Linked DNA regions of Alligator mississippiensis. The protein of the gene in region 1 binds, or shares a complex with, the protein of each later gene. Links are inferred from orthologs where the notes say so. Each region holds a gene or a part of one and is shown in the gene's direction. Other genes may lie near its edges. The genes, in order: AURKA, TPX2 and TACC3.

Region 1 (8,152 bases):
TTTGTTTGGGGCTCAGTGAAGAGAACCAAGACTGACCCACAATAACACAGTACCACTGATAAGAATGGCTAATCCTCTCCATGCATGACATACATTTTTTAGATTCTTTGCCTGCAGGATGCATCTACACTGGCAAAGCAAGAGTCAACTCAGCACTGAAAAGGACAGTATAACCATGATGTGCATGTTTATAGTTTCTGGCTGAACAAGCTAACACTTTTTTAAATGGATACAACTAGAACTGTATGGTTTAGTGGTCAAGATACCAGACTGAGACTCAGACTTGGATTGTTATTTCTGGTTCTGCTACTGATTTGGTTTGAAATCTGGATACATCAGTTACTCTCTCTTTCCTAGTTTTTTTTCACCTCTGACTTTTTTGCTTAGCTTATTAAAATGGTAAAGTCTTTCGATCAAAGCTATTTTTAAAATATGGTCACTGCCTTGTTGAGACTTCTAGATCCTACTACAGCACAATCTCTATAAAAAAAAATTCTGTTATGCTGCATACTCCAATGCAGATATTGCTTAATGTCTGCTGCCAAACATGAAGTTTATGCTGTACAGTCACACTGTGTATTGTCCAGTCAAACAGGCTGTACTATAGCAGATTTGAATGCTGACCTGATAAGCAACATTAGGGTATGCAATGCCCCTATTCCAGCAGACGCTAAGTGACTTAGGACCTACCTGCCCTTCCTCAAGACATACTTCCTGTGACATATAGCACAAGGTATACAAGATGAAGTTCAATCCGTTAACTAGGGATGCACCGATAGAGACTTTTTGGGCAGATACCAATAGCTAAAATTAAGGAGGCGTATCAGCTGATATCAATCCAATTTCTGATACAGCTGGTAAGTCCATTGTGGTAGAGGGGAGGAAAAGGGCGGGGGAATATCAACACCCCACCATGGTGAGAGGGGGGGCAAGGCCAAGTGCTGCCCAGCCAGGGCAGAGCATGGGACGCTACCCTCCTCTGTAGCCACCCCCGAGCCCAGCTCACATGGAGAAGAGCCTGCAGCTACAGCTCACCTGCCCTGCACAGATCCGGGGGCACATGCCTTCCTGGGGTGCAAGCAGTGGCAGGAACAATCCCCTCCTCCCCCCCACCACGAGGAGCTGTGGCTTTGGCCCGTGCCCCATCTGCCCCCTCCCTCACCATGTTGGGGACGGACGGATGGACACACACATGGGGACATTGATCTGCCCCCCCAAAGCCCCTTCTACCACATCAGACTTACCAGCTGCGAGCAGCTCTGCTCCTCACTGCCTGAGTGCTGCGTTGCGGCTATGCACATACATGAGCACTTATTGGCCAAATTATTGGCCACATTGAGCCGATTTCCAATACAGCCAGTTTTCTTTATATCAGTTCTAATCCGATATCGGACTGATGTAACGGCGCAGTTAATCATTTTGCAGTAAATTAACCAATGTGGAACTCCATGCTGCTATGGCTAAGCTGCTTTTAGGATGTGAATAGTTCAGCTGTTTTGATGCTATGCTGTAGTCTAGGTGCAGGTATGTCATTAGAGAGGGAGTGGCAGGGCTGCCTCTTTTGTGGCCTTGGACCTTTGGATCCCACTGTCTTCCAAAATCCTTAAAGCAGTTTACATTTCCAGCCTTCAAAACACAACAGGACACATGGTTTGTCCACTCTCTGCAAGGAGATGTGGGCTGAGTACAGCTTATGTTGTTCATATGGAACTGGTTATGTCAGTTTCTATGACCTTTATTACCACATGCTTTGCTTTGATCTGGTACATTCAATGAACCCATGTATTATGATCCTGAAGGCTTTCAAAACATTCAGGGTACTGGATAAGCATTCTTGTATGTGGCAAAAGACCAAACTGCTTTTGAAAGCCCTGCATTTAATATTTCCTATCCACAGCAGAACCAGAGAAACGTAGGGATAGAAGGACACTGGAAAATCATCCAATCTAAACCCTAAATCAAAGCAGGATCAATGCCATCCATGACACTAACAACAGAGCATCATTAAGAGTGATTTTTGCATGAGAGACTGAGACCACTGTGTACCTGCACTGTAAGCAAAGTTGAATTTCAAAATTCCTCATTTATTGACATTAAAATTTACAGCTTACCTAGTTTAATTAAGTGCAGCAGCTGCTCAGAGGGTGCACAGACTGACTGTGGTTTTATCTCATTTATCAGGCCATTGGCAATGTTTATGTATCCATCATACAGCAGCTGACTAATAATCAGTTTATACAATTGCTGACGATCTTTCAAGCTCACTTTTGTTCTATACATTGCGAGCAAGGACTGCCTTGCAGGGGCCTGAAACAAAGATAAAAAAAAAAAAATCACAAAATAAAATTGGACTGAACTGGCGTTGCCTTTCATAGAAAAGTGAACCGCATGTCATTTTCCAAAGTTCCTTAATGGAGATAAAGTCAATTAAAAAGGTATTGCATGGGGGGGTGGGATTTTCAGCTTGCGATCAAAAGTAGAGGGCAAAAAAGGTATTATATATACTGGGGGGAAGAGGGAGACATGTTCAGCTTGCAATCAAAAGTAGAGGGCAAAAAAGGTCTTATATGTACTGGGGGGAGGGGGGGGGAAGAGTTGCTCAGTTTGCAACCCGAAGTGGAGGCCAAAAACCAAGGTGCCAGAAGAGATGACAAAGTCGTTCCCGACGGCAGTGACAGCGGAGGAGCGCGCTGGCCACCAGCATGCGTGGGGCTGCGATGCGAGGCTGACAAAGGCCAAGGGCCAGGAGAGCGGCAGCGGCGCCGTCTGCAGCCGCGGTGCCGGCAGGACCCCGCTCCGCGGACGAGACGGGCGCGGGGCCAGGAGCGGAGGGAGAAGCCGGCCGGGGCGCCGTGGCCCGCGCGGGCGGGAAGGGGGCGTGGGGGACTCGCGGCACAGGAGGGCGGGGAAAGAAAACCCGCCCGCCAGGGCGGCAGCGGCCGCACCCAGCGGCTCCCGGGGCAGCGCGGCCGAGCCGGGCCGGGGAGGGACAAGACACGCGCAGCCCCGCCCGCCGGTACCTACCGACCCTTCCTTCGGCCTCCCTCGCTCTCCGCCTAAAATGGCGCCCGGAGCCCTGAGCACATCGATGGGAGGCGCCGGCGGCGGGGGAGGCGGCGGCGGCAGCAGCAGCCGAGAGCGCAGGAGGCTCCGCCGCGAAGGCAGCTGCATCGAGCGCCCGCACATCGATGGGAGCCGGCCCTGGAGGGAGGCAGGGAGGGAAGGGAAGGGACAGCCGCGTCAACGCGCATGCGCGCACCCCGCCGCGCCCGGCAGCCACGTGACCCGTCCATGGGCTCCCCCAGCACGTCCAACACGCGGGCCCGATCCTGGGGGGTGGGGGCAGCATGGGCAGAGGGGTCTCGTGATCCCTGCGGGTGAAGGGAGTCTGGTGGAGATGAATGAAGGGCAGCAGAGGCTGCTGTGGCTCCTGGGCAGGCAGCAAGTGGGGGACTGGGCAGCCCAGGCCTGAGGGTAGTGGGTTCAGATCCCAGCTGTGGGCAGGTGGGGTCTCAGGGAGCAGCCTGGGTGCAATGGTGGCCTTAAGGGTGTTGGGGCCGCAGGCCAGCGGGTCGTCTGGGGCCCCTTGGAGGCTTAAATGTGGATGACCTGTAAGCACAGACATTGGTTGCAAACTTCTAGGCGTCCCCTAAAGTGCAGTCACCCCATTTGCCCTCCCCTAGGGCCGTCACTGCCAGGTGCTCCTGTACGGGGTCTGTCCCGCCACGCGTCCGTGCAAACCACTGGCGTAGCACGGGTCTCCAGCACCCAGGAACCAATGCTTACATTTGCACCTGCCTGTCCACAGGCAATCGCCAAGTGGGAGGAGGCGGCCGATCGCCGAGGCCAGAAACAACGGTGGCGAAACAGGAAGTGCCGCCAGGGGACCGAATACCCCCCGGAGGGCCCAGCCGGCGCCTGGGGGTATGCCCCCTTGGTGCTAGGCCACTGCCGCAGCCGGACACCGCGGGCAAGCGCGGGCTCCCGCCGATTTTCGTGGCAGCGCCGGTTGGTTCCCCACTTCAACCGGGCAGCAAAGTCTCAGGCGCGGCAGGCTCCTCCTGGGCACCCCCCCCCGCCCGCCCGCCCCAAGGGACAGCCGTACTCACGTCAGCCTCGAGGAAGGGCAGGCGCAGGGCCCGCGGGTCGATGGGGGGGGAGCCCATGTTCCCCAGGCCCCGTGGCAGCGGGCGTCTGTCGCAGGCTGGGACGAGGCGGCGGCCCGACATCCTGGCGCTCGCTGCCGGCACCGGGATCGCCTCCCCGCGCTCTGTCGGGCGACGGCGCTGTCAGCCGCCACCTACCTCTGCGGCTGCTCTCGCTCCGCCGGGCCGGCTCGGCTGGGCTCACCGTCGGGCGATGGCGGCCGGTGGGACCCGGAGCCACTCGCGGGTGCCCGCAGGCGGGAGGCGTCGAGCGGGCGACGCTGCGGCTGGGCCTCCGGACGTCCTCGTGGTGCTCGTATGTATCACGGCTGCGCCCGAGCGCTCAACGCCGGCCTGCGGCACAGCTGCCCCGTGCGGCCTGTGCAGCCCGGGCCCGGTGCCCTCCTGCCTCCCCTGAGGGGGCAGCGCAGCCCCCCCCACCCCCCGCTGCCAGGAGCCGGGGGCTGCCGCCTCCCAGCCAGGGGGCAGGACTGACCTGAGGCACTTCCTGCCCCGCTAACTGCCCGCCCCGCGGCCTCACGGGGCGGCGGGCGGCGGGGATGGCACTTCCATCGCTGCCACGGGTGGGTGGTCTGGGCTTACGCGACTTGCGTAAGGAGAGACCAACCGAGGCCGAGAACTGGCGGAAAAACCGACGTAACTGTCTCGCCGATCTACGCAGTTGGCGCGCGCCGGGGGTGGGGGGGAAAAGCGGCCGAGGGGCGGCACGTCACCTACGCACGTTGCGTCGGCACCGCCCTAGGGGCTGGAAGCGGCTCACGCTACCGCGCAGGCGCTCTGGAGACCCGCGGCCTGAGAGCGACGGGAGGGGGCGGGAGCAGTCGTGAGCCAATGGGCGGGCGGGGAGGGTGGAGCAGGAGCCAATCAGAGCGCCAGCGTGGTGGGAAGCGGGCCAATAGGGAGCAGCGGCGGTTTTAAAGGCTGTTACGGGGAGGGAGGTTTGAATTCAAACAGCGCTCGCGGTGGGGTGTGGGGCGGTGGTGGTGAGGGCCGATGGGGGTATTGGGAGGGCTCCTGGGATCCCCGCGTGTGGGGGGCAGATGGTCCTGGAGAGAGGAGGAGGGCAGGGAAATATGGTCCTGGAGTGGGGGGTGGAGGGGCAGATGGGCCTGGAGAGAGTGGGGGGGCAGGGGTCCTGGAGTGGTGGGGAGGGGAGGGGCTGATGGGCCTGGAGAGAGGGGGCAGATGGGTCTGGAGGGGGGAGGGGCAGATGGACCTGCTGGAGAGGTTGATCTGAGCCTCCAGGCCAGGCTGGCTTGTATTTGAACTCTCTCTTTTTTCAGGCAGCATGGACAGAACCCGGAAAGAGAACCGCCCCGGCCTGCCCACACATGGTGTCAAGGTAAAAGGCCTTGTTCTTTGCTCCACCAGTTCATCCTGGTCCTTGTTTGCGATAACCCCTTCTGGTCATCTCGACAGAAGGCCCCCCTGCCTTCTCCAAGTGTTCGCCCTGCCTGTGTATGAGGCCGGGCAGCATAATGTACGTAATGCGTAGCAGAGGTGTTAATAGCTCTGTTATGGAGGCCTATGTTGTTCTTAAAACAGTCTGAGAATGTGGTACTGTCCCCACTTCAGATCGATTTAAATTTTTACTTTCCATTGGTAGGCTAATGGGGAGAAATGCAGCTAAATTAGGTTGTGCGAGGGTGGAAAATGAACTTCATGAGTTACAGTACAATAATTAGTGCTTCTGCCTTGTCTTGTGTGTCTGTTTAGATTCCAGCCCACGTTGGGGATGGCCCAAAACGAGTCCCCGTCTCTCAGCTTCCTCAGAGTCGAGTCCCTGGAGGCGCAGCCCAAGCACAACGTGTCTTGTGTCCTTCAAACTTGGCTCAGCGAGTTCCTGTACCATCACAAGCTCCAAAGACTGCAGCGTCTAATCAGAAACTGTCTCATAATCAGCGGATGCAGCAGCCTCAGCCGACATGTGTAGTTCAAACATCTTCTAGGCCTCAAGCTCCAAATAATAATGAAAAGCCTCATCATGTCCCAGTATCTGGTAAATAGATTCATTTACACATCTATCTCATCTTGACATGACACCCAGGAGACTTTCAAAGATTGATCATTAAACTGGTTGACTGCAGCAAATTAACAGACCTGACCCTTATTTTCTATAGATCAGGTTTGTGTAACTTATCTTACATCCTGACTTTCTTCCATATAAGAGGATCACATTCACATAGGAAGATGGTTGAAATGTTGGGTAGTATGAACCTACACAGAATTATTTCTGGATTAATAACATTGGCCAACTAGCAGGGTGCTACCTGCTTGTCCCCATAACAGAATAGTGACTAAAATTTAACAGCCACAGATGGTAAGGTACCTTGCTGATAGATATAATATTATAATAATAGAAGTATCATTCTACCCAAAACTTGGAATCTAGAAAAAGCATGGTAAAAGCTGACAGTTGTAGCAGTTGTGTTTTGTGGGTTTGATTAATTAAGGTGTTGAAACTTTTTGTATGCAGCAAACCAGCCTGAAAAAGAAGGTACTTCTAAACCGAAAAATCAAGAGACTAAAAAGTAAGTTGCATTCCTAGTATTTTTGTGTGTTAACTGGGAACCTAGACCCAGAAGTCTAAAATGCTTGTCAGTGATAACTGGGTTAGAATTTCACTCTTAGCATTTAAGGATAAATAGTGTAGAAAAAGTATTCTGCAGTTTAAATATATTGGATTTTGAGGCCAGATCTTGATCTTGGTTAAATTGATACAAATCTTAACCCAGAATAACTCCATGGACATTTATACAAAAAAAAAGAGTTCCAGGCCTTTTGTATTCTAGCAGTTTAACTATATTTTTTTTTTTCCTCTCTTAGGAGGCAGTGGTCTCTTGATGACTTTGAAATCGGCCGCCCTCTGGGAAAAGGGAAGTTTGGAAATGTATATCTGGCTCGTGAAAAACAAAGCAAATTTATTCTGGCACTGAAGGTGCTGTTTAAATCTCAGCTGGAGGAAGCTGGAGTAGAGCATCAGCTGAGGAGGGAAGTAGAAATACAGTCTCATCTTAGGTAAAAAACAAACAAACCAACAAACCCCCTCCCCCCCAACTTATTAGAATTGTAGTTAAAGATATGTTGTTTCAAGCAAGATAAGCAGCTGAACTTATTGCCTCCTGAATTCTATCACCTTAACACAAAGTTTGAACTCGTCTACATGTAACAGGAGTCTTTATGCTTTTATACTCTGCCATGGCAATCCCTTAAAATTGCATCTATTTTTAAGTTACAGTGGACTTTACACAAAACATGTTTAAGGAAGTAATTTGAAAGAACTACGGTTTGGGGGGAAGTCTTTATATCCTGTTGTATAAAGGATACAACAGAGAGGATGCAACTCCAACTTTCTCTTAAACTAACCTTACTGGATTCTGGCTTCTGACTTGCTAGGCAAAGTGACAGTGTGAGATAATGGCTGGCATAATGCAGTGAATTATTTTGTACTTGAAAATGCTTCAATTCTATACATGCTGAGGAAGAACAGACTTTGTCATTGGCAGTGTTTCCAAATGGCATCTCTCCTATTGAATAAACCTGGATATAAGGGAGAACACCAATTTAAAAAATGAAAAGTATCTTTAGCAATAACATCCTAAGACCCTCTACAACCCCCAGCATGCATGCCAGAGTATGGCATGCGAGGCCATTTTGCTTGGTACATCACAGCTGGCCCCAGGCTCTGGGCAGCTGCCATGGGCCACTTGAAGCAGACAGCTGGGAAGCTGCAAGCCATGTTGCAAGCACCCTGGGCTCCACGGCTGGTAGCAGCTGCCTGAAACCCAAGCTGGCTGTGGCAGGCAGCTGGGGGGTGAGGCTTTAGATGGCTCCATAAGGCTCCAGAGCTCTTGGCTGCTTGTGTGCCTCTGGGCAGATGGCAGGAGAGAGGCTGGGGTTGTGCTGCCCTATACCCCTCCCCCACCATCTGCCCAGAGGCATGCATGCAGCTGCTGTCGGCAGAGGACCGGCTCCCCTGTGGTCCG
Region 2 (7,456 bases), about 8.3 Mb from region 1:
ATACAAGCCTGTGGACAGCACCCTGCGTACACTGCTCAGGATCCAGCGGGCAGCAGCAGGCTGTTTGCACTGACTCTGCACTTCAGTGCTACCTTGCAACGCTCTGCTGATCTAGGGCCAGGCTGCCAGGTAATGCAGAGGCCCACAGGAAGCAGGACAATCTCTAGCACACTTCACTTGCAAATGAAGCAGACCAGGGATTCCCGTTTCCATTGCCTCAGACCTCACCACACCAAACAGTCCAGGCCTAGCACTAAGAGGTCCCAACTGAACAAAGAATTGGCTCAGCCCTGGGCTGGGTCACGGACACTCCAGGTCAGACCTAAGAGATGGGCCTTCTGTTTCAGACAAAGCCTGGATTGTAGGTGCACAAGGCTCTGGGAAACAGGCCTTTGTACAGAATGGCCAAGGAGATAGGCAAGACAGCGGGATGAAAAGGGCCCACCAGAGGGCAAGCCTGGGTAGCATCCCCTTGCTCCACCACAATGGAGTGACCCTTCATAGCAAAGAACACAATGGGAAAGGCCCTGCACCAGTTGTTCCACCCTGGGCACCAGGGACAAGGGCTAGGATGTGCAATGCTGTTAGCAAGGCAGAGGAGAATGGGGAGCTCTCCCTTGGAGAAGGAGCTTCTTACCCAACCGCCGTTCTCCTGGATCCAGGGGTCGAGGTGGTCGGTCAGGTAGGTGGTCATCCACGAGACAATACGTCCAACCAGCACCTGCATTTCCTTGTCGACGCTCTCCACACACAAGGCCCCTCCGAAGGAGAAAAAGGCCACGATGCGCCCCCAGTTCACTCCATCCCGGAACAGTTCATTCACCACCTGCTCGAAGCTCTGGTATGCTGTGCCAGGGGTGATGTGGAGCTGGGATGTGAGGTCACTGAAGGCCCTGCGGTACCTCAGCTCAAACTCGTCTCCCGCCTCCCTTAGCGCCTGCCGCACTTCAGCCGCCGGAACACTCTCCTGGGCTTCCAGGTTGTTCCTGTGTCCAGCAGCCCCATTCACTACGTGGCTGGCAGCGGGATGCCAGGACGGACTCCCGTTCGGGACACTTGCCATGTCCTCCTCTCCTGCAAACTCAGTCCTGGTCTCATCCTGCCCCTCAAGCTGACTCCAGCTGTGTCCTCGCTGTGACAGCTTGTAGGATATAAAGTCAATCACTAATTCCCGGTTGCTGCTCGACATTTTCACACTAGGGAGATTCTCATCGAGTCCATGGTCCAGAACACCAGTGTGCTTACCCAGTCCAGACTCTCCTTTTCTCCAGGATCTGTGCAAGCATCTGACCTCTGAGCAGACAATTAGAGAGCAGGGAAGAAAAAGAGGCAAGAACATATTAGCAATGCAGCATTTTACTTCCACTTGTAGCATTAACAACAGCAGCTTCTTACTGCTCAGAGAAAGCAAGCATCCTTGAAGCTACACCTCAGGCTTCAGGATTTAGTCGCCCAGAAAACTGGCAGCAAAACATCCATTTCAGCAACAACTAGGCTAAGCCCCCTTGGATTTGCTTTACAAACGACTGCAAGTCGCATGCATGCGCAACACATCCCATTCAGCCGCCTTACATGGTCCAGGTACAGCTTGAGAGCTCCTTTGTGATGTAGCTCCACATAGGGTCTAGGGGGTCTACCCCCTCTGCTAAAGGTCTAGGAGGCTCAGTCTCCAGCCTCCAGCTCTGCCTTGTCTCAGGCAAAGCCTCAGAAGGAAAAGCAGCTCTGGCTGAAGTGATCATGCCATGCTGCATGCTGGAAACACGAAAGCACAGCGAGGCCCTGAAGCCCCAGGATCTCACCCTCTGCCTATTCCTCCATTACCTTGATTGAGTGCTGCAGCTCTGCAGCAGAGAAGCAAAAGGCCCTCCCTCCTTCCCTCTCAGCCTCACGCCCCCTCGGTCTCCGCCTCCCATAGAGGATCAAAGCTCTTCCTGAATTTTTTAAAGGGACCAGCACTGGGTGAGGCCTTCAAAATATGTGCTTGTGCTCTATTGACCAACAATGGCACATTAAAAGAACAATGAGGCCCCCTCTTACACCTATCATAAAGCTCTTCCCAACAATGAAGGAGGCTCTGAAACAATAGCAGCTGGCAGCCAGCACAAGGGAGTTTGTTTGAAGCTTAAAGCATCATTTTCCATTTTCCCTTCTGGAAAGGATTAGCCCCGGGTCAAGTTTCACCAGCTCCCAGGTGTGCTGAAGGTACGCAGTTCCTCTGGCCAGACCTCGGGAAGTGTTACAATGGACCCCTTGCATTTCAGTGGGATCCCAGGAGCTACAGGCTCACTCCCCAAACCTCTCCTCTCAAGAACAGTGGCAAAGGAAGGAACACAAAAGAGCTGTAGTGCTCCTAAGAAGTTGGGAAAAACTAGAAGCCTATTAATCTACAGAGTATTACTTACCTACATAGTTAATAGGTCAGTAGGAGGAGGAACATGTACACTCACAGATAAGGAAAGACAAGATCTAACGCCCAGCAGCATTTTGAGGGAAACCCCAGCATTCCAGAGACTTACGCTGGCATAAGAGAGGAGCAGAAATGCCCCTGAGGAAGTGTGTCCTAGATACGTTCTTTTCCCAGTACACCACAGACACTCTCTGTAGTGGAGAAGTGACTTACCCCTAATGTTATTCTAAGCAGTCATTTTTCTGGAACCAGATTATTAACAAACCTTACTGTTTCAGAGCTAAGAGCTCCCTCCCCACAGAGCATGCACTGGACCGGCAGCCTCTGCACTGGCTTTGCCTGCATCTCAGCACTCCTTGTTTACAGGATTGTCCTCACTTCTGTGTTTGCACTGGAAGCAGCTGCTCTCTGCCCCATTTCCACCCCATGCTCAGGCCTGGGGGCAGAGGACACGCCGGGTGGCCCCACCTCGCCCTTTCCGGGTGCACCAGGGACAGACACACAGGCTCTCTGGATTCGTGCTGGGGAAGGAGCATGTGTGTTTCTGTACTCACCCCCAGAGAGGAGCTGCAGGGAGAAAACTCTGGGCTGGGAAATCTCAGCAGGCTGCGCCTCCTGGACCAGCTGCAGAGACACTTCAAATTAGTAATTTGACACAGAGAGCCTACTCCCTTCCCCGCCCCCAAGGCACAAGCCCCGCCCCCACCCTCTCCAAGTCCCTCCCTACTCATCTCTGCTAAAGGGCAGATGTTGGGAGGAACTCAATACATGCCAGCGCTTCTCCCTCTCTAGGGCACCCCTGGAAGGCTCCTCACCGCAGCGCCAGGGTGGCAGATACAAAACTAAGGCTTGCCTTAAAAGACCATGCAGTTGGTTCGGCTATTCGTATAGGGGAATCTTGAGAGATTTTTCGACCTCTGTCAGCCCAGGTGGGATTTCCCAACACCCGCTGAAACCGTGCCAGCTCAGCCTTGCTCTCGCTTCCCCTGCTGGGACGTTCCCACCGGGGACCGAGACGGCGGAGTTTCCCTGGGGCTCTGCGGCGTCCCTCGGGTGCAGGCGGAGACGCGACCTCCAAGGGAGTCGGGCTCCAGTCCGCTCTTCGTGGAGCGACGTTCAGGTGTCCGAAGACGGTGCGAAGCGCCCGCGCTGTGGGGCCCTTTCGCATTGCGCGAGCCGGGGTTTCGCGGCGCCCTCCGCTGCCCACCCAGGAGGGTGAGTCGGGGGTTTCGTGAGCCGCCCGTGGCGCAGACTTGTCCCGGAGCGGAGGCTACGAGGACAGCCCACGGCCGCCACACGCTGGAAGGAGAGGGCACCGTGGCCTGGTGTGGGTGCCCAGGGGGCGCCCCCCCCAGTCTCCATGGCAACCAGCCAGGGGGTCCTGCTGGGGTTGACATCCCCGTTCGCGTGGCTGGGGAACTACTGTGCCCCGCCTCCGCACCAATCCCAGGCAGGGAGGCGGCCGGGGGGGCGGGGACCCGCGGACGGCGCGCTCCCATTGGCTGCCCTCCGTGTCCGTCACGCCGCCCTCACCTGAAAGGCCGTTGAAGGGCCCAGCCCCTACCCCTTCCCTCCCCCGGCGGAAGCGGGCGCTACGGCCGCCCCTCAGGGCCCCGAGCCGCCTCAGCGGCCCCCAGCCGCCGTCTCCATCGCCCGTTCAGCGGCAGCCGCTCTCCTCAGCGGCTGAGGGAGGGGAGTGCGCATGCGCGAGGGCCGTGCCGGCTTGGGGCCCCGAGGGCGCATGCGCCACTCCGGGGCGGGGTAGGAGGGTGAGTAGTGGCGCATGCGCAAGAAGGGGGTGGGGGCGTTGTTGACCCAGTGAGCATGTGCAGGACGTTGGCTACGTCAGAGCGTAGGGCTTTGGCGCCCCCTCTCGGCTGCACTGGGGAATGGGCGGGTTGGTGTTAAAGGGCCCGCGTCCTTCTTATGCTGTTGGGTGGGGAGGGGAGAAAGGGAGGGGTAGAGACGCTCGGTCAGGCTCAGGAGGCTGCAGAACTGCCCTCCCCCCCCCCCCCCCCCCCCCCAGACCACCATAATCTTCACCCATCCCCTTCCTGGCCTGGGTGGCAGGGAGCTGCAGGACCCCCCCTCCCCCCACCCCACCATAATCTGTACCCATCCCCTTTCTGGCCTTACCCCAGGGTGCATCAAGGTGCTGTGCATTTGCCCTGGTGCCCTGCTCACTTTGGCATTCTCTGAGCAACGTGTGTCATGGGCTGCTCTGCTTTTCTCTCCTCCCCCTGGCCCCAGGGTGAAGCGTGTGCAATGCAGTGGCAGGGTAGGACTGCTTTGGTTTCTAGTGTGTAAGCTGCATGGTGTCTGTATGGGGACTGAAAAACAAAGTTCTTTGGGTACATGCGATATCTTTCCTTAGAACAACTAAATAGCTGGAAAAAATGTTCTTTGTAAGCTTTTGGGTACCAATATCCTCCTTCAGGCATAGGGAGAGTCAGTGGTCACTGTAGACACAAATGGGGAGAAGGACAGGGGGCTTGGAGTGGGCCTTGGTTCTGGACACATCTGCCTACCCTTCAGTTGGGTCCTGGGGGAGTGCTGTGTCCTGCATGAGTGTGCTGGACCCTATTGGTGAGAAACTCCAAGCAGAGGAGTTGTGGCACATCTAAAGATCACCTAGAGCACACAGCTAACAACTCCACTGTTGAACAGCTGTGATGGTGAGCCTGGCACTGCTCTACCCCGGGAAGCCAATGCAGAAAGGGCAGGGCAGGATGGGTGTGTTCACATAGGCCTTCATGACAAGGAGAAACCTGTTCTTTGCTGGCTGGAGTTCCTAAGAGCTGATGGCTTCCTGCCAGGTGTACTGTGTTGCTGTAGGCTAGAGAGAGGTGATGGAGACGGGTGTAACCAAGATCGGGGGTTCTTCATCCTCATGGAGTCCATTGAGTGGCATCCCTTATAGACCTGCACTGGTGTCCACTACGGTAGGACTTCTGTAGAGCAGCATTTCCCAAACTTCTGGGGTCCATGCTGCATTACAGCAAAGCTGGCCACTTCTCTCCTTACCATCACCTTTAGCTGACAGTTTTTGTTCAGTGCTGTCGAGTCATATTTTGCTTGTTTGTTTGCTTTCTGTTAAACTCTGGTCCTGCCTTCCAGGAACTTTTCAGGGTGCTTGCCCTATATTTTGAAAATGCTGCTTTAGAGAACAGGTATATTCTTAGTATATTATATAAAGAACAATATAAGAACAGTCATGCTCAAAAGTTACTATTTGTGACTTTTTGTGCTTTTTTTTTGTTGTGAATGCATACTTCCCATTTGGCATGAAGTATGATCTGTTTTAACTGGTGTAGCACCTAGTCTTCCAAACAAGAATTAGAAGAATAAAGCAAGCCATTAAGTAATGGTCCTTAATTTACCATTTGAGTTCTGTGATTCTGTAAATTCGCAGTGGTGATTGTGCGCTACCATCTGAAATTCTTGCTGCCTGCAAAACAGGACATTAATGCAGTTGTTATAATTGAGCCATCTGGCTTTGTTTTGGCTTTTGTGTGTGACTGTGTAATCTTGTGATTGAGTAACTGTTCTGATTTGCTACTGTTTTCAACTGCTCTACACAGGAATAAATCAGACTGGGAGCTGCAAGGTGGGGAGAACTGAGTCCTTAAAATAGTCTTAAAAATTAAATCATTGGCAATGGTTTTGTTTTGGGTTGTTTGTTTGTTTGTTTTTTACCTTTAAGTATCTTAAAAGTATACCTTACAGCTGGGTAGGAATGAATATTTAGTGGTTAGGAGGAATGTGAGTCTCCAGAATGACTTGTCAAATTGCCCTGAAAGCACGATACTAATGCTCCTTTTAAGCAGCAATTTCAGGGTGAAGCTTTGAAATGCTGTTGTTCTGTCTCTGCTCTTGGGCAGTGTGGCAATGCAAAGAATCTTGTTGGGCACTTTTCCCCCAAATGTTTCTGTGCAAGTCATGGAATCCTAGAAAAATAGATTGGAAAGGTCCTCAGGATGTCGTCTACTGCTCAAGGCAGGATCATCTCTTTCTGACCCAACCTAGACAAGTGCTTGCCTAGCTTGTTCTTAAAATTACACAAACAACCCTGTCACAAAACTACAAGGTATATTGCCCCCAAACTGTAATTTGCCACAGGTAATGCACTGCCAGTGTCCTACTACTGTAGCCAGCATCCAGTGTGGCTGAGGAAGGCAGTCCCTGCCCAACACAGGACAGGGGGGAAAGGAAAAATAATCCTTCCTGGCCCTGTGTGGCAACCAGCAAAGCCCAGAAGCCTGGAGAAAACACCCCCATCCACTCTGCTCAGCAACTGGGGACAGCAAACCCCACACATGTTGCAGCTAGAACTCTCCTTTCCATGACCCCGTCTTCTCCATAAACTTATTCCAGCTCTATCAATTTTTATCGCTAAGCCCGTTCTGGAGTTCTGCTTCATTCTCTTGCTAGCGAACAGAGAGCCTCCTCCCTTCCCCAGTAGACACCTGTATACAAATAGCTGAACCGAAGTGGAAGGGAAGAGGCTCTTGGCTCGCTGGTCTTCTCCAGTACCCATATGCTCTGGACTGCAGAGCCCTTCTCGCGATACCCCAACCAGGGTTCCTGGTCTTCCAAATTTGCTCTTTAGAGCGCACTCCTGGCATAGCTTCTCCAGCCTCTTGAAAGCCTCCAAGGATGGAGATTCTGCAAGACCTTCCTAGGCAGTTAGTCCACTCCACAGTCTTTCTCCCAACTGTGAAGAAGTTTCTCCCAATGTGCAATCTGAACCTACTTTCTGCAACTTTGAGCTACTGCTAGTAAATCAGTTTGACCAAAGCATGGTGCGTGTTTGCAGCTCCTGCATTGGGATAATGAGTTGTGGGACTGCATTGCACTGCCTCTGGGGATATGGTTCATTTGTGACTCCACCAGCCTTGAAAAACACTTTATTTTTGCCAAACCAATTCTTGCTGAGTCATGGCAAACAGGGAGAGAAGCCTTGAACTTTATCCCATTGCTAGGGGCCCGCAAGGCCGCTGCATATGCTCACTGCTTCTGTAGGGTTCGAGGTACCAAGTGACAGCTAGC
Region 3 (7,362 bases), on another chromosome or scaffold:
TGCGGCGGGAACACGAAGCACACAGACAGCACCACGTAGGCCAGCGTGAAGGTCACCGCCGGGCTCTCCATGGCGCCGAGCCCCGCGCCCCCGCCCCGCGCCGCGCCGCGCCGCTGCCTGGGAGCCGTAGTCCGGCACCGCCCCCAGCAGCCCCGCCCGGCGCGCGCCCCGTCACCAAAGCCCCGGGCTCTGCGTGGGGCGGGGTTTGCACCGGTGCACGCACGCGTGGATGTTAGCATGCACACGTGCACGCACATAGCACACATTAGCATGCACATGCACACATACAGACACATTAGCATGCGCACACATACGCAGCATACACAGACATATTAGCATGCACACGCACACATGCAGGCACATTAGCATGCATACACATACACACACAGCATACACAGACATATTAGCACGCACACACGCACGCAGAGTACTCATGCAGATGCACACATAAGCACGCACACACGCTCGCACACAGCACACACATAACCACGCACATGCACACACGCATTAGCATGCACACACACACACACACAGCATACACAGGCATTAGCATGCACATGCGCACACATAGTACACACATAACCACACACATGCAGACACACATTAGCATGCACATGCACACACAGTACACACATAACCACACACACGCAGACACATATTAGCATGCACACACAGCACACACACAACCACACACATGAGCATGCACACACAGAGCATACACAGACACGTTAGCATGCACATGCATACACATAGTACACACATAACCACACAATGCAGATACACATTAGCATGCACATGCACACACAGCACACATGCAGGCACATGTACATGCACACACACAGCACACATGCAGACGCACATTAGCATGCACACAGAGCACACATGCAGACATATGCATGCACATGCACACACAACACACATGCATACATACAAGCCAGCACATGCACACATACATGTGCAGGCACACAAAAGTATGCACATGTACACACACATAGCATACCAACACACACATAAGCATGGACATGCACATGCATAGTGCACACACACATTAGCACACACATGCACACAGACATAAGCATGCACATACATGCATACATAAATGCATGTACACACACATGCACACAGACTTGCACAAATGCATGCACAAACATACCTACACACATACACACACACATGTATCAACTATGTATGAACTATGCACACATCTGTCACAAAAAATTAAGTGGGGAGAGGATAGAAAAAAAAAAGGGGGGGAGAGGAAGATGCAGGGTAGGAGAAGAAAAGGGAAATGTGCCCGGACCATTTGGGGTCAGGAAAGAACTTAACCCCTGGTCAGATGGGGACCAACTGGGGTGCAGAGGCCCTCTACCCCGGTGTCTTGAGCCTGTATTGACAACATTTCATAGAAGCAGGATGTTGGTGCTGTGGTTTCCCTGCATTATGCGTGGCAGATTCGGGTGTCACGTCTGTGTGGGTGGGCATCCTGAGTAGAGTTTAGATCAGGGTTAGGCAACCCCCAGCATGGGTACTGGAGTGTGGCATTTTGCAAAGGCATTTTGCTTGGCACATGCACTCGGGGCAGATGGTGGGGAAGGGACCAGGGCAGGATTGGACCCCTCATGGCTCCCCTGCCATCTGCTCCTGTCACACCAACATCTTACAAGTTGAGGTTGTGGGTGTTTTTAGCACTCTGCCGAAAAACGGTGCCAACGCCTGGTTTAGATTATGGATTGCGTGGGATGTTTGGATAGGGCTGATCCTGTCTCAGGAAAGGGGATGCACTAGATGACCTCTGGACGTCCCTTCTAGCCCTTGTTCCTTGAGTGTGGCTACTGGTCATAAAAATAACAGCAGAAATTAGGGTTTTTTTGTCTTCAACAGCGCTGGGCACACAGCCTGCACTTCAGGATAAACAGCCATAATCTGAGGCTTCCTATTAAAGAGGAAAACTGCATCACCCTAGAGGACAGAGAGCATCTCATGGGGCCCTAACTTGTCATGAATTAAAAATTAACAACAAATGGACAGAGAGTAAAACCACAAACACTCTAGGGATCTGCATCTTGGCAGATGGCTGAAACATTGCAAATGGAGGACAGATTTCTTGGTTCTTTGTACACTTTACTAACGCTTCATGTGCCTGTTTTTGCCAATAAAGTCATATTTAAACCAAAATAGTGTGGATCTTGCAAAGGAGGTTGCAGCATTTCATTGTAGGGCACTTCAGCCTAAGAGATTTAATTGTTTCTATAGTTGTAGCACGGTCTCTGGCTAATGCAGCCGCCTTCCTGACTCAAGAGCTGGAGCGCAGCAAGTTTCACAGTAAATCTGCAATTAAAACAGACTAAGAGCAGCAGGTTTTTAACTTGTGATTTGCTTGCAGAGGTTATTAGGGAAGAATAATGACAGTGCAGTGATAGCATTGGAGTGATGAGTCTATAAGTAATATTTGTAAGAGGCAAGATCATGATTTGGAAAATGACGTTACATTAAAACAATATTTTGTATTGCTTGAGACAGAAAGCTATGGGGCACGTCCAGCACCCTACAGGAAACATTGCAGCATTTTGTCTCTAGTGGGTTATGGAATAGAGAAAATCCCACACAATTTACTGATTCGTTTTGATGCACTGGCTGGGGAAGTATTGATTGCACGATTTCACAATGATTACACACTTAATTCATACAACACAATTTTATTTTAAAATTCTTTGCTACGCATATAACACTGCTTAGCTTTAAGAAATACCACAAAAATTAAGAACACAATAATTACATATATCAGAAACAATGCTCCGAATGCGCTTCCTTCTCAAACAATGCTTTAAGAATTAGTATTACAAAAACAACTACAATTACAACTAAAAGTTACACTTGAATCAATACTATTATTTGCATAATATACTTACAATCCTAGAATTCCGAGAAGCCAAACACCTAAATATGGTTTCATTCCTCAGTAGTACAATTTAATGGGCTGGCCTCAGCAGTACGATTCAATGGGCTGGCCACAGCAGTACGGTTCAATGGGCTCGCCTCAGCAATACAATTCAATGGGCTGGCCTCAATACTGATAGGACTAAGTCCCCTTCTTTCAGTCCCTTTCGGGCGCTCTGCAGCTTCAGCGTGAACTAAGAGATTCGTGTTCACGGAGAGGGTGGTTCAGGTGATCAGTCTGATCCGGTCTACGCTTGCGATTCTTCCTTCATTGTTCTGCAAGTATAGTCACCTCCAATTTGGGAGAGTAAGTTACGGTTTTTATTGAGTGAGTTACCGTCCTGGGCCACTCCTACTCAAACCTGTCATTACCCCCAAATTTGGGCTCAGATCTTACTCAACAGATTCTTTTGCTTGGTAATCAGTTTCTTTCTTGAAAATTCTAATGACTTTGGGGAACTTCCATATCACTGCAAGTGACCTTTTCTTTCCAATCTTTTCGAAAAGGCCCTAGGGTTAGATCTCTCCGCACTCAGGATATTTGCTTTAAGGATCATTTTCAGGTTCTCTTTGTTAAAGACTTCTAAAGATAAAATTCAAGAGTTAAAACTTTAAGCAAAGTCTGGATCTTCTACACGTAGTCCAAAACAATGACCTAGATAAGGAGATAAATCTTATCTTCTTTCTGAAACTGGCTAATGGGCAACCATTACAAACATTCAAACTAGTTCATTCAATATGACACATTTGTCTTTGGAAGAAAGCAGAAAAAAATTATTTATATTAAATCAAGCAGGTTTTTTTCGTCTTTAATTCTCTAGTAATGTTAGCCTCTCATTGCTTTCCCCGAGATCACGTGGTTCAGGACCTCGTTCTGCTCCTCCAGGGTTAACTCTCACTCCTGGAAGAAGAGCAGGGCAGTGGCCTTAGCCCCGCGAACTACATTTCCCAGCGTGCTTCACGCAGCACCCCACCCCCTGGTTGCTTCCAGCATCCGGAACATCTTTATTGGTTGAGTGCTCGGCTGTCCCGCCCTTCTACCTTTCTCTGATTGGTCCATTCAGACAGGCATCACCACGGCCTTTCGCAGCTCCTGCCCTTTCATTGGCGAGAGCGGCGCCGTTGAAATTTGAAATCCGGCGGCGGCGCGCGGGGCTGAGGTGGAGGTAGAGGTGGACTGTGGGCTCGGGCACCCGGCCGGGCAGGGCCGCTCGGCAGGCAGGTAGGGCCGGGTCAGGGCTCGCATGCACGGGCAAGTTCCCCCTTGCACACGTGCTCTTGCACACTCGCACACAAAGCCACACGCACGCCCCCCCTTATTGTACACGCGCACGCAAGGACACGCACATTCCCCTGTCTTGCACACTCTTCCTCTTGCACACGGGCACACAAAGACACATGCACACTCGCCCTTGCATATGCACACACAAAGATACGCGAACCCCCCCTTGCACATGTACTCTTTCACTCTCCCTCGCAAGGACACACACACTTCTGCCTTTTGCACACTATCAACTCTATATGAACTATGCACAAGTCTGTCACAAAAGTGAATAAAGGGGTGGAGGAGGGCAGTGTGCCAGGGCTGTTTGTGGTGAGGAAGGGATGTCTCCCCCGTGAGATGCAGGGGGACGTTGCCTTCCTCTGTAGTGGGGCCTGCCTCGGGCAAGGGCCGGTCGAGATAACCCCTGGAGGTCCCGTCCAGCCCGACTTCTGTCTGACTTCTATGACTAATATTTTAATTAGCAAAATAATCTAAGGGTTCTCTCTAAATTGCATAAACTTTTCAAAACGGTTAAGCGTGCTGGATGTGATCCCATAGGTGCTGACTGCTGCTCGTCCTACCTGATTTCCACCCTTGGGCTAAGGACAGAAGTTACACGTGAACCAGTTTAAGTCATCAAAAACGGGTTTAAACCTCTAACGGAACAGAAGTTCAATGCACATCAACCCGTTTCAAAACGTCTGGAACTGGTTTAAGATAAACCGGGTTGAATGTAGTATCAGACTTAGCTGGTTTGGGTCAAACCAGTTTATGAAACTTCTGTCCCAGGCGCCTGAGATGTCCTTCTCAAATGCTGTAGTGTATTTGGTCACCATGTTGGCTTGAGACAAAAAGAAATGCAAAAAATCCAGAACTGTTGCTTCTGAGATGATGCCTTTTATTAAACCAACCGAGAAATTGCAAAAAAAAAATCTTTTTTTCAGCAAGCTTTTGGGCTCACATGCCCTTCATCAGGCTCAGGGAAAGTTAAAGATGGTAAAAAGTCCCCATCGGTAGGAAATCAACTTCATTTTTGCACAGGGGAGGCTGAAGCTAGAAATCTGTCCCTCTGGGTCCATGAGAGTGTCTTTGGGATGTGCTCTTTGTTGTGCAAATCACAACAAAGTAGAGGGGTATCAGACATGTCCCATGGGCCAGATAGCAATTTTCCCCAATTCTCACTTCAATGGGACATATCCCTACAGTGACAGCCACGGTGAGTGAGACCCCCAGCACAGCCCTGTGGCTCGTTCCTCCTCACCCAGTGGCAGCCAAGCACCGAGGATGTTGATCCCCTTCCTGCCAGGTCCCAGACCAGCAGGAGCAGGGGTCATGTGCCCTGGATCTGGCAAGGAGCGTGGGGATGGGGAAATGGCGCTGATCCAGCCCTTGGGGCCAGAAGAATTTGATATCCCTGTTGTAATACAATCCCGTGTGTCACTAATAACTGAATCCTTGCAGCAGGCCTTGCATTCATTGGGGATTTACAGACTGCCCGTTTGCCAAGGGTATCAGCGCTGCATTTGAAACCATGTTGGCTGTAGTTAGTTTTCTTTCCAAATACTAAGTTTTTCTATGCAAAATGTGATCTGAGTTGTATTGGACATCAAGAAATATTGTCAAAAACTCTGTGTTTCACTCGTGTTTCCAGGACCATCCCAGCTACAGGACCACTCCAATGCTACTTTGAGACTTTCTGTGGTGTTGTGCATGAGCCCTATGTCGCTCTCATTAGGTTTTAAGCATTAGTTAGGGTTTAGACTGCACATGACTAAAGGTCTAAACATTGGTCACAAAGGCAGACTAAGACTAAAATGTCAGCAATACTTGTATGCTGTTTGTTGCCCAGATAACTGGATTAGTAGTACTGGAGTACAATAATCCCATTCGTGTCTGCTGCAAACTCATTGCAAACCTTAAGCATTCAGGATTTGTGTGTGGCTTTGTCTGTTGTTTCCTAGACAGTCTCCTTCGTCTCAGGGCACCCATTGGAAAAGGCCAGCTCTTGGTTGTTACTTGTTTTTTGACTACAGAGAAATAATAGAGTCATTCTTTGGTTGTAAAGAAGTTGGAAAGACCACAACAGAAGAGAGTGCTTTTAATACTATGGGTTCCTATTTGAAATTTTAGACAAGGTTCTTTGGGTGAATTTATCTTGACTCGGGCTTGCACGCCGAGCAGTGATTACATTGTGTGGCACCCTTGAAAAGATCTCAAGGCAACCCAGGGTGCTGCAACATTGGCCTAAACTGTCAAACCTGAAGCGGGGTCTAGTATTTCAACTGGGCCTCTTCTAGCTTCAGATTGGGTGCATGCACTTGATCTGAAAAACTTGAGCTGACTGCCTGTTCAAGAGCATCACTAGAAAGCAATCCCAGACTGGTACTTGTACTTAACTATCCCGTGCTCAAACCCAACACAAATGGTGAAGTTTTGTATACATTGTACAGAAAGCTCAGTGATGGCTTTCACAGCCTTAGCTCTATCCCATTCTACACCCAATTATGCAGTAATATCACAAGTATAACAGGAGCATAATTGTATAAATAGACCATAGAATAGCACTTACAGCCATTATCTAATGTATGCAGGTAAGATCTTACTCAAATGTTGAATTAAAGTAATTTGCTATCTTCAGCGCTGCTGGAATTCCACTGACCATGTCTGTAATTCAGCTAGACTTCCTCTGGCAAATTGAAAGGCCAGTAGCAGTTAAACTGTTATTTTAATGATTCAAAATACAACAAAAGAGTCTAGCGAAGGGCTACAAAAATGGTTAGCAGGCTAGGGCACATGATTTATGAGGACAGGCTGAGGGAACTGGGCTTATTTAGTTTAGAGAAGAGAAGACACATACAGGGATTTGATTGCAGCCTTCAACTACCTGGAGGGCAGTTTTAAAAGAGGGTGGAGCTGGACTGTTCTCAGTGGTGGCAGATGACAGAAGTTGGAGAAAGGGAGGTTTAGGTTAGATATTAGGAAGAATTTTATCACTAGGAGGGTAGTAAAACACTGGAACAGCTTACCCAGAGAGGTGAGGGAATCTCTATCCTTGGAGGTTTTTAAGACCCAGCTAGACAAAGCCTTGGTTGGCCTGATCTAGTTGGGATGGTCCTGTTTTGAGCAGAGGTTGAACTAGATGATCACTTGAGGTCCCTTCC

What was found.
Region 2: the proteins of AURKA (region 1) and TPX2 are in contact, whole or in part, in a crystal structure (PDB 3HA6), measured with the Homo sapiens proteins. The link is inferred for Alligator mississippiensis from reciprocal best matches to the Homo sapiens genes AURKA and TPX2. Residues at the interface, in NP_001310232.1 of Homo sapiens: Lys125, Arg126, Gln127, Trp128, Asp132, Glu152, Gln154, Ser155, Phe157, Leu159, Lys166, Glu170, Gly173, Glu175, Leu178, Arg179, Val182, Glu183, Ile184, Ser186, His187, Leu188, Arg189, Tyr197, Gly198, Tyr199, His201, Val206, Tyr246, Ser249; in NP_036244.2 of Homo sapiens: Gln3, Lys5, Ser6, Ser7, Tyr8, Ser9, Tyr10, Asp11, Ala12, Pro13, Ser14, Asp15, Phe16, Ile17, Phe19, Ser20, Ile31, Asp32, Trp34, Phe35, Glu36, Lys38, Ala39.
Region 3: the proteins of AURKA (region 1) and TACC3 are in contact, whole or in part, in a crystal structure (PDB 5ODT), measured with the Homo sapiens proteins. The link is inferred for Alligator mississippiensis from reciprocal best matches to the Homo sapiens genes AURKA and TACC3. Residues at the interface, in NP_001310232.1 of Homo sapiens: Leu130, Phe133, Glu134, Ile135, Gly136, Arg137, Tyr148, Leu149, Ala150, Arg151, Ile158, Val163, Arg205, Tyr207; in NP_001428248.1 of Homo sapiens: Glu523, Ser524, Phe525, Arg526, Pro528, Val531, Leu532, Gly533.

Annotation. Positions count from the first base shown.
Region 1 is NC_081832.1:9,930,290-9,938,441, forward strand, and holds the start of AURKA (aurora kinase A), read left to right. Parts: upstream 1-5,058; 5' UTR 5,059-5,104; exon of another isoform or gene 5,105-5,149; intron 5,150-5,449; 5' UTR 5,450-5,454; coding exon 5,455-5,508; intron 5,509-5,882; coding exon 5,883-6,165; intron 6,166-6,642; coding exon 6,643-6,697; intron 6,698-6,992; coding exon 6,993-7,184; intron 7,185-8,152. Other genes in the region: CSTF1 (cleavage stimulation factor subunit 1), read right to left, coding at 2,112-2,307, 3,025-3,201, 4,110-4,229. UniProt on the Homo sapiens protein: Mitotic serine/threonine kinase that contributes to the regulation of cell cycle progression.
Region 2 is NC_081832.1:1,643,813-1,651,268, reverse strand, and holds the start of TPX2 (targeting protein for Xklp2), read left to right. Parts: upstream 1-4,085; 5' UTR 4,086-4,176; intron 4,177-7,456. Other genes in the region: BCL2L1 (bcl-2-like protein 1), read right to left, coding at 638-1,189. UniProt on the Homo sapiens protein: Spindle assembly factor required for normal assembly of mitotic spindles. Required for normal assembly of microtubules during apoptosis. Required for chromatin and/or kinetochore dependent microtubule nucleation.
Region 3 is NC_081825.1:17,675,428-17,682,789, forward strand, and holds the start of TACC3 (transforming acidic coiled-coil-containing protein 3), read left to right. Parts: upstream 1-4,056; 5' UTR 4,057-4,159; intron 4,160-7,362. Other genes in the region: TMEM129 (E3 ubiquitin-protein ligase TM129), read right to left, coding at 1-71. UniProt on the Homo sapiens protein: Plays a role in the microtubule-dependent coupling of the nucleus and the centrosome. Involved in the processes that regulate centrosome-mediated interkinetic nuclear migration (INM) of neural progenitors.